Linked DNA regions of Ovis aries. The protein of the gene in region 1 interacts with the protein of each later gene in a biochemical or structural test. Links are inferred from orthologs where the notes say so. Each region holds a gene or a part of one and is shown on either strand. Other genes may lie near its edges.

Evidence for each region.
Region 2: the proteins of RACGAP1 (region 1) and ECT2 form a complex in vitro, tested with the Homo sapiens proteins (3 studies listed by BioGRID and IntAct, with this or other methods). The link is inferred for Ovis aries from reciprocal best matches to the Homo sapiens genes RACGAP1 and ECT2.

What each region holds. Positions count from the first base shown.
Region 1 is NC_056056.1:136,295,646-136,301,308, forward strand, and holds part of RACGAP1 (rac GTPase-activating protein 1), read left to right. Parts: intron 1-578; coding exon 579-715; intron 716-1,646; coding exon 1,647-1,716; intron 1,717-3,344; coding exon 3,345-3,398; intron 3,399-4,323; coding exon 4,324-4,404; intron 4,405-4,778; coding exon 4,779-4,896; intron 4,897-5,579; coding exon 5,580-5,663.
Region 2 is NC_056054.1:215,451,848-215,457,510, reverse strand, and holds part of ECT2 (protein ECT2), read left to right. Parts: coding exon 1-66; intron 67-173; coding exon 174-266; intron 267-1,784; coding exon 1,785-1,967; intron 1,968-3,323; coding exon 3,324-3,413; intron 3,414-4,535; coding exon 4,536-4,643; intron 4,644-5,557; coding exon 5,558-5,631; intron 5,632-5,663. UniProt on the Homo sapiens protein: Guanine nucleotide exchange factor (GEF) that catalyzes the exchange of GDP for GTP. Promotes guanine nucleotide exchange on the Rho family members of small GTPases, like RHOA, RHOC, RAC1 and CDC42.

The DNA.
Region 1 (5,663 bases):
CTATGTTCAACCAGTATGAGCACTGGGACATAGAGCACTGTCATTCTGATGTACCAGGGTGGGTCATGGTACAAAGGAAGCCCTTACTAGGAGGGACTAATCCATCTTGGTATACTGTTAGGCGCCTCAGCAGGCTCAAATTGTCTGGTTCCAGTGCGTCACAGCTTTGTATCCATTTTAATGCATTTTGCTCCACCATTTAGAAAGGTGGGTGGCTGCTTTGATCTGTAGAAGCCAATAATTGTCCTGATAAGATGACACTAAAGTGTTTTTGCTCTGTGAAATCTATTTTGGGACTCTGATTTTGCAGTCCTCTCTTCTCTTGAATTAGCGGTTTGATCCAAAAGTCTTGTAGCAGAAACCTCACTATTCTGGATAGAGTTCATTTTACCAGTCAGAAATCAGAGACGCAATCTGGGCTTGATGTGAATTAATATGCTATTGGTGTAGCAGCCTTCCTGGAGGCTCATTTGCATAATGCTGTATTTTAATGTCTCCTGGTCTGCCTGTCCCATAAATTTAAGGTGACGCTTTCTCCCCTGGTTAGTTAGGACGTTTTACTCTGCTTTGGTCTGTAGGAAAGACAGATTCAGCTGATTCGAGAGATGCTCATGTGTGATACATCTGGCAGCATCCAACTAAGTGAAGAGCAAAAATCAGCCCTGGCTTTTCTCAACAGAGGCCACCCATCCAGTGGCAACGCTGGGAACAAAAGGTGGGGGAACTGCATCTGTTACCTGATCACAGGAACACAGCTCTCAGACGTTCTTGCTGTCTAAACTCTTAGATATACTGCTTTTGGAATGTGTGCTAAATAAAACAGGAAAAGACTTTGGAGGAAGGCTGGGTGGGAAATAAAGGTGCAGGGGCGTCCCGTTTTATTTTTTTATCTTAGGTTTTTTCATTAAGGGTAAAATTTGACGTTGGTGCGCAATTGTACCAACATCAATAATCCTGCCCATTGCTAAGAAACCTAAAGGTGGAAGTGGCAATACTTGCAGTGTTGGCTCTCTAGAGAGCTCTCGTAGTTCTGGTTAAGAAAGACCCTCTGTGAGCCAAGACCAGATGATAGTTTTGGTTCTACTGCACCACTATTTAAAATAGTCTCAGCCAAGCTTTCAATTAACACCCCCAATACAATACATAGGGAAAGGTCAGCACTCTTTGAGGTATTTATTTTGTTGTCTGGTTGTTTTATGGGAATCTATAACTAAGAAGATCTACGGGCTTAATTTGTTAGAAAGCTAATGCTGGGTAATTCTCTCTCTTGTAGAAAACAACCACAGTTGGGATCAAACTGAACTTCACTCTTCCGCCTTGTGACTTTTTAGCAGCCTGTAGTATAGACTCAGCAGGAAATAGCACCTATACCCCGACTGTAACTTTCAACTGCTGTTATGAGCCCTTTGCTGAAATAGCAGCTGTGCTGCATGTGTGCTCGTGTGTGCACACACACACATACACATAGTCCCCCTTGAAAACCGTAAAAAGCGGCCACCACAGCTAGGGGTTGAGCTTGTAGTTATCTCCACAGGGAAGATGCTGCTGTGAGATTGCTGATGTTACCTGACCAGTGTGACTTTTTCCAGTGTTGGTGGATTTTACTTTCCACAGTCTTGTTTCTAACTACTATTTCACTCATCTAGACTGTCAACCATTGATGAATCTGGTTCCATTTTATCCGATATCAGCTTTGACAAGACCGATGAATCCCTGGTAATGAACACTTAATTTCTGAGAATTATCTATTTTTCTTAACCCTGCTCCGTCAGGAATCTCTCTTCTGTCCTCTCTTCTGAAATTCCCTTGTTACTATTTTATTAGTTGATATGTTATAGATAATGACTAGCTTTTAAAAATATAAATACACACAAGCCTGAAAGAAATTGGCTTATATATTTAGCCTTTGGAAGTGAGAATATGGAATTTAGGATTTGGCATGAGGTTAAATTTATTTAATGAATCTGTGAGCTGCCTATACTAATTGGTTATTACATCTTGACTTTTTAAAACCCCAGCTAGGGGGGAAAAAAAATTATCAAGACTCTATCCAGGCAGGCTTTATTTGCTGCTCTTGGCTAGAGTAGATGTGTGCCTTATTTCTAAATTAAATTAGTTCTTGAGGAAAACTTAGTCATACTTCACAATTAGAAGGAAACCAGTGCCTTGGAACTTTAGCCCAAAGGCTGATGAAAGTTTCCAGGCACTAGACAATACCTTGGTGAGCAGTGGTTCACCTGTCTGAGCCCTTTGTTGCCCTGCTGTTGTGGGGCAGCACCCTTCTTGTAATGTATGGTGGGGTTTCTGCATAAGAGGTCATACTCTGATATTCAGTCTTTGTTCCAGAGACTTGCAGCTTATGGTTTCTGTAGCTTTCCTCTTTGACTGGTGGAAAGCTAGCAAACAAAACAACAAGTCAGGAGGTTATTGGTAGTTGGTCATTTGATGATAGCAAAACAAATGACAACTGCTTGTTACATAGACTCAGAGTTTTCTGTCCAAATTCAGAGTTTGACTAGGGCAGTAATTGCTCTTTTGTAAATATTAATATTAGGTATCGCCTTTTGGGAATAAGGAATGACACAGTTTGGGATTTTTAATAAAACTAGAATATATTTCTAGCTAATTTTAGAGCTAGACCTCTGCTGTAATATCTGTTGTAACTGAAGCTGAGTCAAACAACCAGTAGCTAAATTACTTGACCATAAATTGGAAAGGTTAAATTTATTTAGCTAAGCTATAATATATACAACTGTTTAGGGGTTTTGTGTTTTCAGAGACTATCAGGGTCAGGAGGTCATAGGTAGCTACAAAAGATGAATGCAAATGGTTGAAGTGAGTGAAGTAAAACTAGACCACAGTGAAAGACAAATGAATACTTTTTTAGGGCTCAAGGAGGAAGGATGATTGAGAGATGTGAATTCTAAACTAGAACTTTTAAAGTGGCTACCTTGTATAGAATATCGAATTAGATGGTAGCAGTCCCTTATGAGCAAGGATCACATCTGAACCATTAGTATAGTGCCCACCATTCTGTGAGTTCTAAAACTAATTACAAAAATAATCAGAAACAAAGGACCAGGTACTGAAGATAATCACGACAGAAGTTGATTCTTTAACCTTTTCTTGCCTCTGTGGTATTGATTCCTGATTCTATTATAATAGCTTCAATTTTGGAAAGAAGGCATGTTCACTTACCACAGCACTATGGCTATAACATTTGAGAATTGTGAGTTAGATACTCAGACTCAGGAGGTTTTTAAAATTTTCTGTAAATGTATTTGCATAGGATTTAGGGAAGGCCTAACCAAAGAAGGAAATTGATACAGTATAATTGTCAACAGGATTGGGATTCTTCTTTGGTAAAGACTTTGAAACTGAAGAAGAGAGAAAAGAGGGTATGTATGGTTTTGTTTACTTTTGGGTTTGTGTGTGTGTGTCTGTTTTTACTTAGTAGCAATAAAAGAGTTTCCTCCGAAATGTTGCCATTGTGCTACATTCCTGACATGTTGCTCTAGCTGGTGTTAAACACATATTACAAGTGAATCCATGTTGGGGGCGGGGGCAGTATTGATGTTCCCTGAGGTAGTAATTGCCTGGAAAATCCCATGGACAGAGGAGCCCAGAAGGCTGCAGTCTATGGGGTCACTAAGAGTCGGACACGACTGAGCGACTTCACTTTCACTTTTCGCTTTCATGCATTGGAGAAGGAAATGGCAACCCACTCCAGTGTTCTTGCCTGGAGAATCCCAGGGGCGGGGGAGCCTGGTGGGCTGCCGTCTATGGTGTCGCACAGAGTTGGACACGACTGAAGTGACTTAGCAGCAGCAGGAGCAGAGGTAGTAAACTCAGGACAGAATCCTGTCCTGCCTGTTTCACTATTCTGAGCTGATTTAAGTTCATTCATGGAGAGGAAAAGGATCTATTTAAGTTTGTTTTGAGATGTCATATGAATTTTTATGCAGAACTTTTGTGCTCTAATAGAAGTTTCAGATGAAATGTGTATATAATGGGATATACAGAGATCTATCTGTGCTTGTTTAGGGTCCTTAATATGTTTCTAGGACTTCATGTTCTTAGATAGGATTACACTCTACTTTTTCTGGTGCTGCCATCTAAATTTTTCCAAAGCTTGCTTGTTCTTCTAGGGCACTCAGGGCCTTTTTGTGGAAATAGGCTGTGAGAGAGAGCAGATTGTTTGTTATTTCCTGCAGCCCTGGTACCTAGGACTTGCATCCAAGTTGTCTAATGGAATAATTTTATTTTTTGTGCTTCAGATCTCCTATCTGACACTAAAGTTCTTGGTTTTTGCCCCATTTTTAGCGCTCGAATAGCCGACAGTTCGTGGATGGTCCACCTGGTCCTGTAAAGAAAACGCGTTCCATTGGCTCCACTGCAGACCAAGTAAGAATAACTAGGCTGAGAGAATTGTGGTCTTGAACATAACAAAGTGTGGTGGCCCCAAGCATAAAAAATCCCGAGTCAACATTGCAGTGTTATTTCGAAAGAGCTGTTTGGTGAAAATTCTTCTCTGTACTGGGATCCTTATCCATCTGAATAGAATAGTAAACAACATCAGCTTCATGCTTGTTCTCAGTTGCTTGTATACCCCTGTGACCTGTATTTTCATTTGAAAGTATTAGATTTCAACTTCAAGAGTATTTGGGGCTAGGGGCTTAAGTCCTTACTAAGACTCAGGAATTTTTTAACTACACCAAACCACCCATAGTAGAAGGGAAATTAGATTTATCCTTCCCTCATTACTGCCTTTGTTTCAGGGAAATGAATCCATAGTTGCTAAAACTACAGTGACTGTTCCCAATGATGGCGGGCCCATCGAGGCTGTGTCCACTATTGAGACCGTGCCATATTGGACCCGGAGCCGAAGGAAAACAGGTCCGCTGGGTTTGTGGCTGAATTGCCTATGTAAAAACAACTGGTGAAATCCGGGGAGAACTGGTTTCTTAGAACCCTCATGAGTCAGGGGCTGGATGTTTCAGGTCGTTCACTGTACTGCTTCTTACTGGGGGACAGAGCCCTGTTTTGTCATGCCCTGCTTTGGCTTGCTAGCCTGACCTACACCGCTGGTGTGTAGCTTGTCTCTCTGGAAACTGTGTTGCATAGTTCACTTCTGGGTGTTATAGACTCCTGGTTATCTACTAGTTATATTGTGTATTTGGCTGTGTCGGATCTTTGCTGCGGCACTCAGGATCTTTGTTGTGGCGTGCACGTTTCTTTGGTTGTGGCTCACAGGCTATTTAGTTCCCCTGTAGCATGTGGGATGTTTCCCAACATGGAAGACATATTTCTTTTCCATGTCCCCTGGCACTGGAAGGGAGATTCTTAATCACTGGACTGCCAGGGAAGTCCCTACTGGTTATATTAGAATTGGGGTTAAAATTCAGACGGGAGAATTACCTGGCGGTCCAGTGGTTAGGACTTCGCACTCTGACTGCCAAGGACCCTGGGATCAGTCCCTGGTTGAGGAGCTAAGTCTCATGAACCACAGGGTGCGGCAAAAAAAATTCAGAAGGAACGAAACATCTAAGACACAAAGCTTGGAGTTGTCTGTTTTCTAGGTACTTTACAGCCTTGGAACAGTGACTCCACATTGAGCAGCAGGCAGCCAGAGCCAAAAACCGAAACAGACGGCTCCAGCACTC
Region 2 (5,663 bases), on another chromosome or scaffold:
ATTGAAACCAGAGTCATACTGGTTCAAGAATCTGGAAAACAAGAAGAACTTATAAAAGCCTTAAAGGTATGGAGATTGAACTTTTTATTTTTATTTTTAAAGAGACTATTTTCCTTCCATCAGTGCATAAATTATAGTTTTCTTAATCTCATAATTAAGTCTCTTTTCCACAGACTATTAACATAATGGAAGTCCCTGTTATAAAGATAAAAGAAAGTTGTCCTGGAAAATCGGATGAAAAATTAATAAAAAGTATTGTTAATATGGTAGGTCGAGCTTTTCGTTGCATGTGGCATGCTGCACTTCCTTTGATTGTATTCTATAGTCCACTTAATGGTGATTGGGCCTAAAGTAGACGTGAGGTATACTTTGAACACTCTGAAACTAGATTAATGAAAACTATGACATTTATTTTAAAATTTGGATGTTTCTGAAACCTCAAACTATAATGTTTTATAAATAATGAAATCCTTATAGAGTAATTTGGCATTGTTAAATTTAAATGACATTTCACTTATGTATTTGTGAAGATCTAATACTTTAAACTCTACTTTTTCCTCAATAATTTTATTTTATTCCAAATTCTTGCATTACTTCTACAATTGCAAGTCAATACTTGACAGTCATCAGGGAATTTACCTCACTGTATGAAATATCTCTAATTCCCTATACCAGCTAATACTAGATTGTGAGGGTTTCCATAATAACATATGCTGGGCGGCTCAAACAATAGAAATATGTTTTCTCACTTTCCGGGAGGCTAAAGTCCATGATCAAGGTGTCAGCAGGTTTGGTTTCTGTTGAGGCCTTTTTCCTTGGCTTGTCGATGACTGCCACCTTCTTGCTTTATCCTCATGTGGCTCATCTTCTGTGCATGCATATCTCTCTTGTATGTCCAGATGTCCTCTCTTACAAGGACACCTATCCACCTCTAATACAGTCTGACTAGAATCCACCTATGTGACTTCATTTAACCTTTATTACATCTTGAAAGGCCATATCTTGAAATAGTTACATTCTGAGGTACAGGGGATTAGAACTTCAACATGAGTTTTGGGATACACAATTCATCCCTTCACATCAGCCTGGGAAGTAAAGCCCAAATATTGACTCCCCCATTTGAATTTTCTTTTAAATGGTTCTGTTCTTTTTATACAAGTCATGTAGATCCTTAACTATCTTCATTCTTTGTCAGGGATGTACATTACAAAGTTGTCTTTTTAAATCCTGTGTATACAAAGTTGTAGTTGCCTCCATATTTTCTTATGTTCCTCTTATTTCCCTCATATATACTGAACTTTCTGTAGATGTTGCATGTCATAGTATTTTTTTCTTTTTTTCTGACTATAATTTGTGCAGGAAGAACTATGTGTATGGCATCATTTTCTCAGTCAGAATAAAAAGCAACTCTGGATATCTTTCTAAGGCATCCTACTATCAAAATATGTGTACTTAAAAAATTCATCATCCCTATTTTTATATCCATACTAGATGCTTTATAATGGCTACCAAGTCATGTCAGAAACTTACGCCTTTATAATAATTTTCAAAATTTAAAATCTTAATGTAGAGATATATTTATATAAATAAGTAAAGAAATATGACTTCACTATTAAGTATAATGCTCATTGTATGGTTTAAAACTTAAGTTTCTACATTTCTACAAATATACAAATAAAAATGTTGATACTGAGTTGATTTGGGGGTCTTATTTAGAGAGATTTATAATTGATTTTATAATATATAAATTTTATTTCTTAATAATGCCATGGAAAAAAATCAAGGAAATTAAACTGCCATTTGTAAAGATGGAATCAGTTGAAGAAGTTAAAAGTTTGGATTCTCCAGAATTTGAAAATGTATTCATAGTCATGGACTTCCAGGATTCTGTCTTTAATGAGTTATACAAGGCTGATTGTAGAGTTATTGGACCACCAGTTGTATTAAACTGTGCAGAAAAAGGAGAGGTAAGAAGGAATATATGCTTATTATAACTTTTCAAGGTTAATAAAATTTTATTAATGAATTTTTTGCAAAAAAATCTCATTAATTGTTGAGAATATGAAATATTTAAAATAGGAATAGTAGTGGCTACTCTATAGTACTACCTTCTGTAGAACTCAGAAGTCCTTTAATCATAAATAATATGTGTGTGCGTGCGTGTTAAGTCGCTTCAGTTGTGTCCGACCGTTTGCAACCCTATGGACTTTGGCCCGCCAGGCCATGGGATTCTCTGCCCTCCCTCCTTCAGGGGATCTTCCCAACCCAGGGAACGAACCTGACCCAGGGATCAAACTCCCGTCTCTTACATCTCCTGCATTGGCAGGCAGGTTCTTCACCACTAGCGCCACCTGGGAAGCCCGAAGAATATCATATGTATATACAAAATCTTAATACCTGCAGTATCTTGGGAAGAAATAATTTGCTTTAAACCTGAGTACCAAAGATATGTATATATAAGTACATAAACTTTAATTTTCTTCCACATAGAACTGCTACCACAATTGCATTTTTATCAGTTTCTACTGATAAATTAGGGAAATTACTTTAGCTTTTTGTTTTTGAATAGCATTTCATTCAAGTTGTAGCAGAGGTGATACATATTTTATTGCTCTGTTTTGGCATTCTTAAGCTTGCCTTAGTAACTTTAAACTGCTTAGATCTTTGTGCTTCTTTTATTATAGATACTAATGATGAGCACATTATAATCTTTTAGTTTTCTGTTTTGATTCAGAAGTCTTGTTTTTAAAAAACACATAAACATTTTAAAGGCCAAGATTATGGAAAAGTATATTTCTGCCCAATAGTGGGAATTAAATTTATATCTGTTTTTAAGCATTCTCTTTCATATATAGATAGATAAAATCATTTGTTAAATTATTTACTATCTCCATTTTTTAGCTGAAAAGTTAGAATCATATTTGGTTCAAGTATATGTATGATCAGTATTTATTAGAAAAATATTTTTGACCTCTTTTAACTTTAATTTGAAGCATTTACAGTAGTATATGGAAATCTTTTATTATAGACAATACCTCATGTATCAAAGTACATTTTGGAAACAAAGGTGTGGGTATGGATATTTATGTTTTATTTGGCAGTAGTAAAGTGTGTTTAGATTATGTGTATCAAATATGATATGGGAAATCATGGGAACTTTTATTGTGAAATTGATCCTTGCGATTTCTTGCATGTTGAAAGATGCAAGTATATTTTGGGGTTTGGAGTGTTAAATGGCAAGAGAGGGAAATATGTTTAGTTTAGAAAGATGTGTTCTATTTTTGCTGTAGAGAGTCTCACAGATTTAAAATTGTATCCTTCAGCCCCTGCCATTTGCATGTCGCCCACTCTATTGTACCAGCATGATGAATCTAGTAATATGTTTTACTGGATTCAGGAAGAAAGAAGAACTAGTAAGTATTTTAAAACATTCTAGTCAAAGAATATTTCCTCTAGAAAAATAAATTTGCCTTTTTTTGGTAGTTGTATCATGATTTTATTTTTAAAATATTGAAGGAGAAATTACTGTGAACGTGAAGTGAAGTGAAGTCGCTCAGTTGTGTCCGACTGTGCAACCCCATGGACTGTAGCCCACCCGGTTCCTCCATCCATGGAATTTTCCAGACAACAGTACTGGAGTGGGTTGCCGTTTCCTTCTCCAGGGGATCTTCTTGACTCAGGGATCAAACCTGGGTCTCCTGCATTACAGACAGACGTATTACCGTCTGAGCCACCAGGAAGCCCACTATGAGTATGAAAGGGGTCTTAAACTTTGTGAAGAAACACTCTGAAGAGCCTTGTGAACAAACAAATGTTTTGTCTAGGGTGGCTGGTCTGTGAATTAGGAAAACTTCGTAGCTGTCTGTTTAAATTGTCTTTTTAAGTATTTTATTAGCATATTATTTGAAGTTTTTGTTTATGCATTGCCATTTTTTATTATATATATCTAGTCTTAAAGTATTCTCATTGCTCTAGAGAATTCATAGAAATTTCTTTCTTTGATCTGTAAAATTATTTATGTTGGAGCTAATGCCTGGCATGCTGCAATTTATGGGGTCGCAAAGAGTCAGACACGACTGAGTGACTGAACTGAACTGACTGAATGGGGTATTAATAGAATTCAGTGGGAAGAATCTTGATGTGATGACAACCTGGCTTTTAAAAAGTAATAAATTGAGGACATACATTTTTTTGGGACACAAGCCTGTTGTGTCCCCCTTTGCCTGGCAAAGCAACAAGCTTTTTTACTTCACCACCCACCTCTAAGAAGTAATATCTTTACTTTTTCACTTGTGTGAAAGCCAGTCTTTAATTAACTTAGTTTTGTATGTTAATCTTAACTACCTTATCTCTGTATGATTTTGCCTATGCCAGTAAGGCAAATGAATCTTTTAATTTTTTTAACATAAACTTTATAAAAATTCTTTCATGTACCTGATAAATAGAAATCAGTATATGCTAAATGAACTATAAACATCATTTAAAATTTTGTTTATATTAATCAAAAAAAACCAATGTTTACTTTTTCTTTTGAGGTCAGATTGGTGACATTGGTTCATCACATGGGTGGAGTTATTAGAAAAGACTTTAATTCAAAAGTTACACATTTGGTGGCAAATTGTACACAAGGAGAAAAATTCAGGGTATGTAAATTTTAGTATTTTTGTGTATTTCAATATAGCACTGTTTGGTAATGGATTTAATGAAAGTGTTCTCATTTTGTCTATTTCTCTCACAATTTATTGAGGATCAGAAATTCAGTTTTTGCTATATGTGTGTTTAGTAAAAAATTTTAAATCATAGGAGTGTGGCCCCTGAGGTTTGAAGGAGGCAGTGGAGCTTGAGTTAGGTCTTGAAAGATGATTAGGATAGTGGAGGTTGGTAAGTAAATAACATTTTAGATGAGTAATATTAGGAAAGAATTACTATGAGCGTTGGTGAGTAAGGGGGTCAGAAGGTGATGAAGGTAGGTATTTTTCTCTTATCTAGAGCAGAACTTTGTTCTTATAAAATAGTTCCAAGATTTAACTTGTGAAAATTATAGAACAGGAGAAAATACTTTTATTGGGATTAAAGTCTTAGTTCAAGATCGCACTTGAAGAGTTTATCACTTTGTTCTCATCCTCCATCAGTGTATATATGTAGCAAATGGTAAGTTTAGGGTAATCTTGAATTCCTGGAAGGTATACTTAGAATTCATATCTAAGATTTGGTGACCTAATCAGATATATTCTCTTAAACTCTTAGTGCTATCATGGGGGTTAATACTTCTAAGTAGACACAGAAATAGAAATGTAATAAAGATGAACTGAATCAACTTGGGAGATGTATTTATTTAAAATAAAATGAAACAGCTTGGACCTTGTGGAACTTGTTTTGGAAGTTATTTTAACCTGGATTGTATGATGGAAAGATAGTTTTTTCTTTAATTTTTCTTTATATTTTGTTACAAAGCAGATGGGCAGTGATCTAAGAATGTAATTATAATTGTTCATATTTTATAAGAATGCAGTTATTTAAGGTAAAAATGCATCATAATTAATGTTTGTGTTTTTAGGTAGCTGTGAGCCTGGGTACTCCAATTATGAAACCAGAATGGATTTATAAAGCTTGGGAAAGGCGGGATGAACAGTAAGTATTTAGAAATTCAGTTGTTAATTATG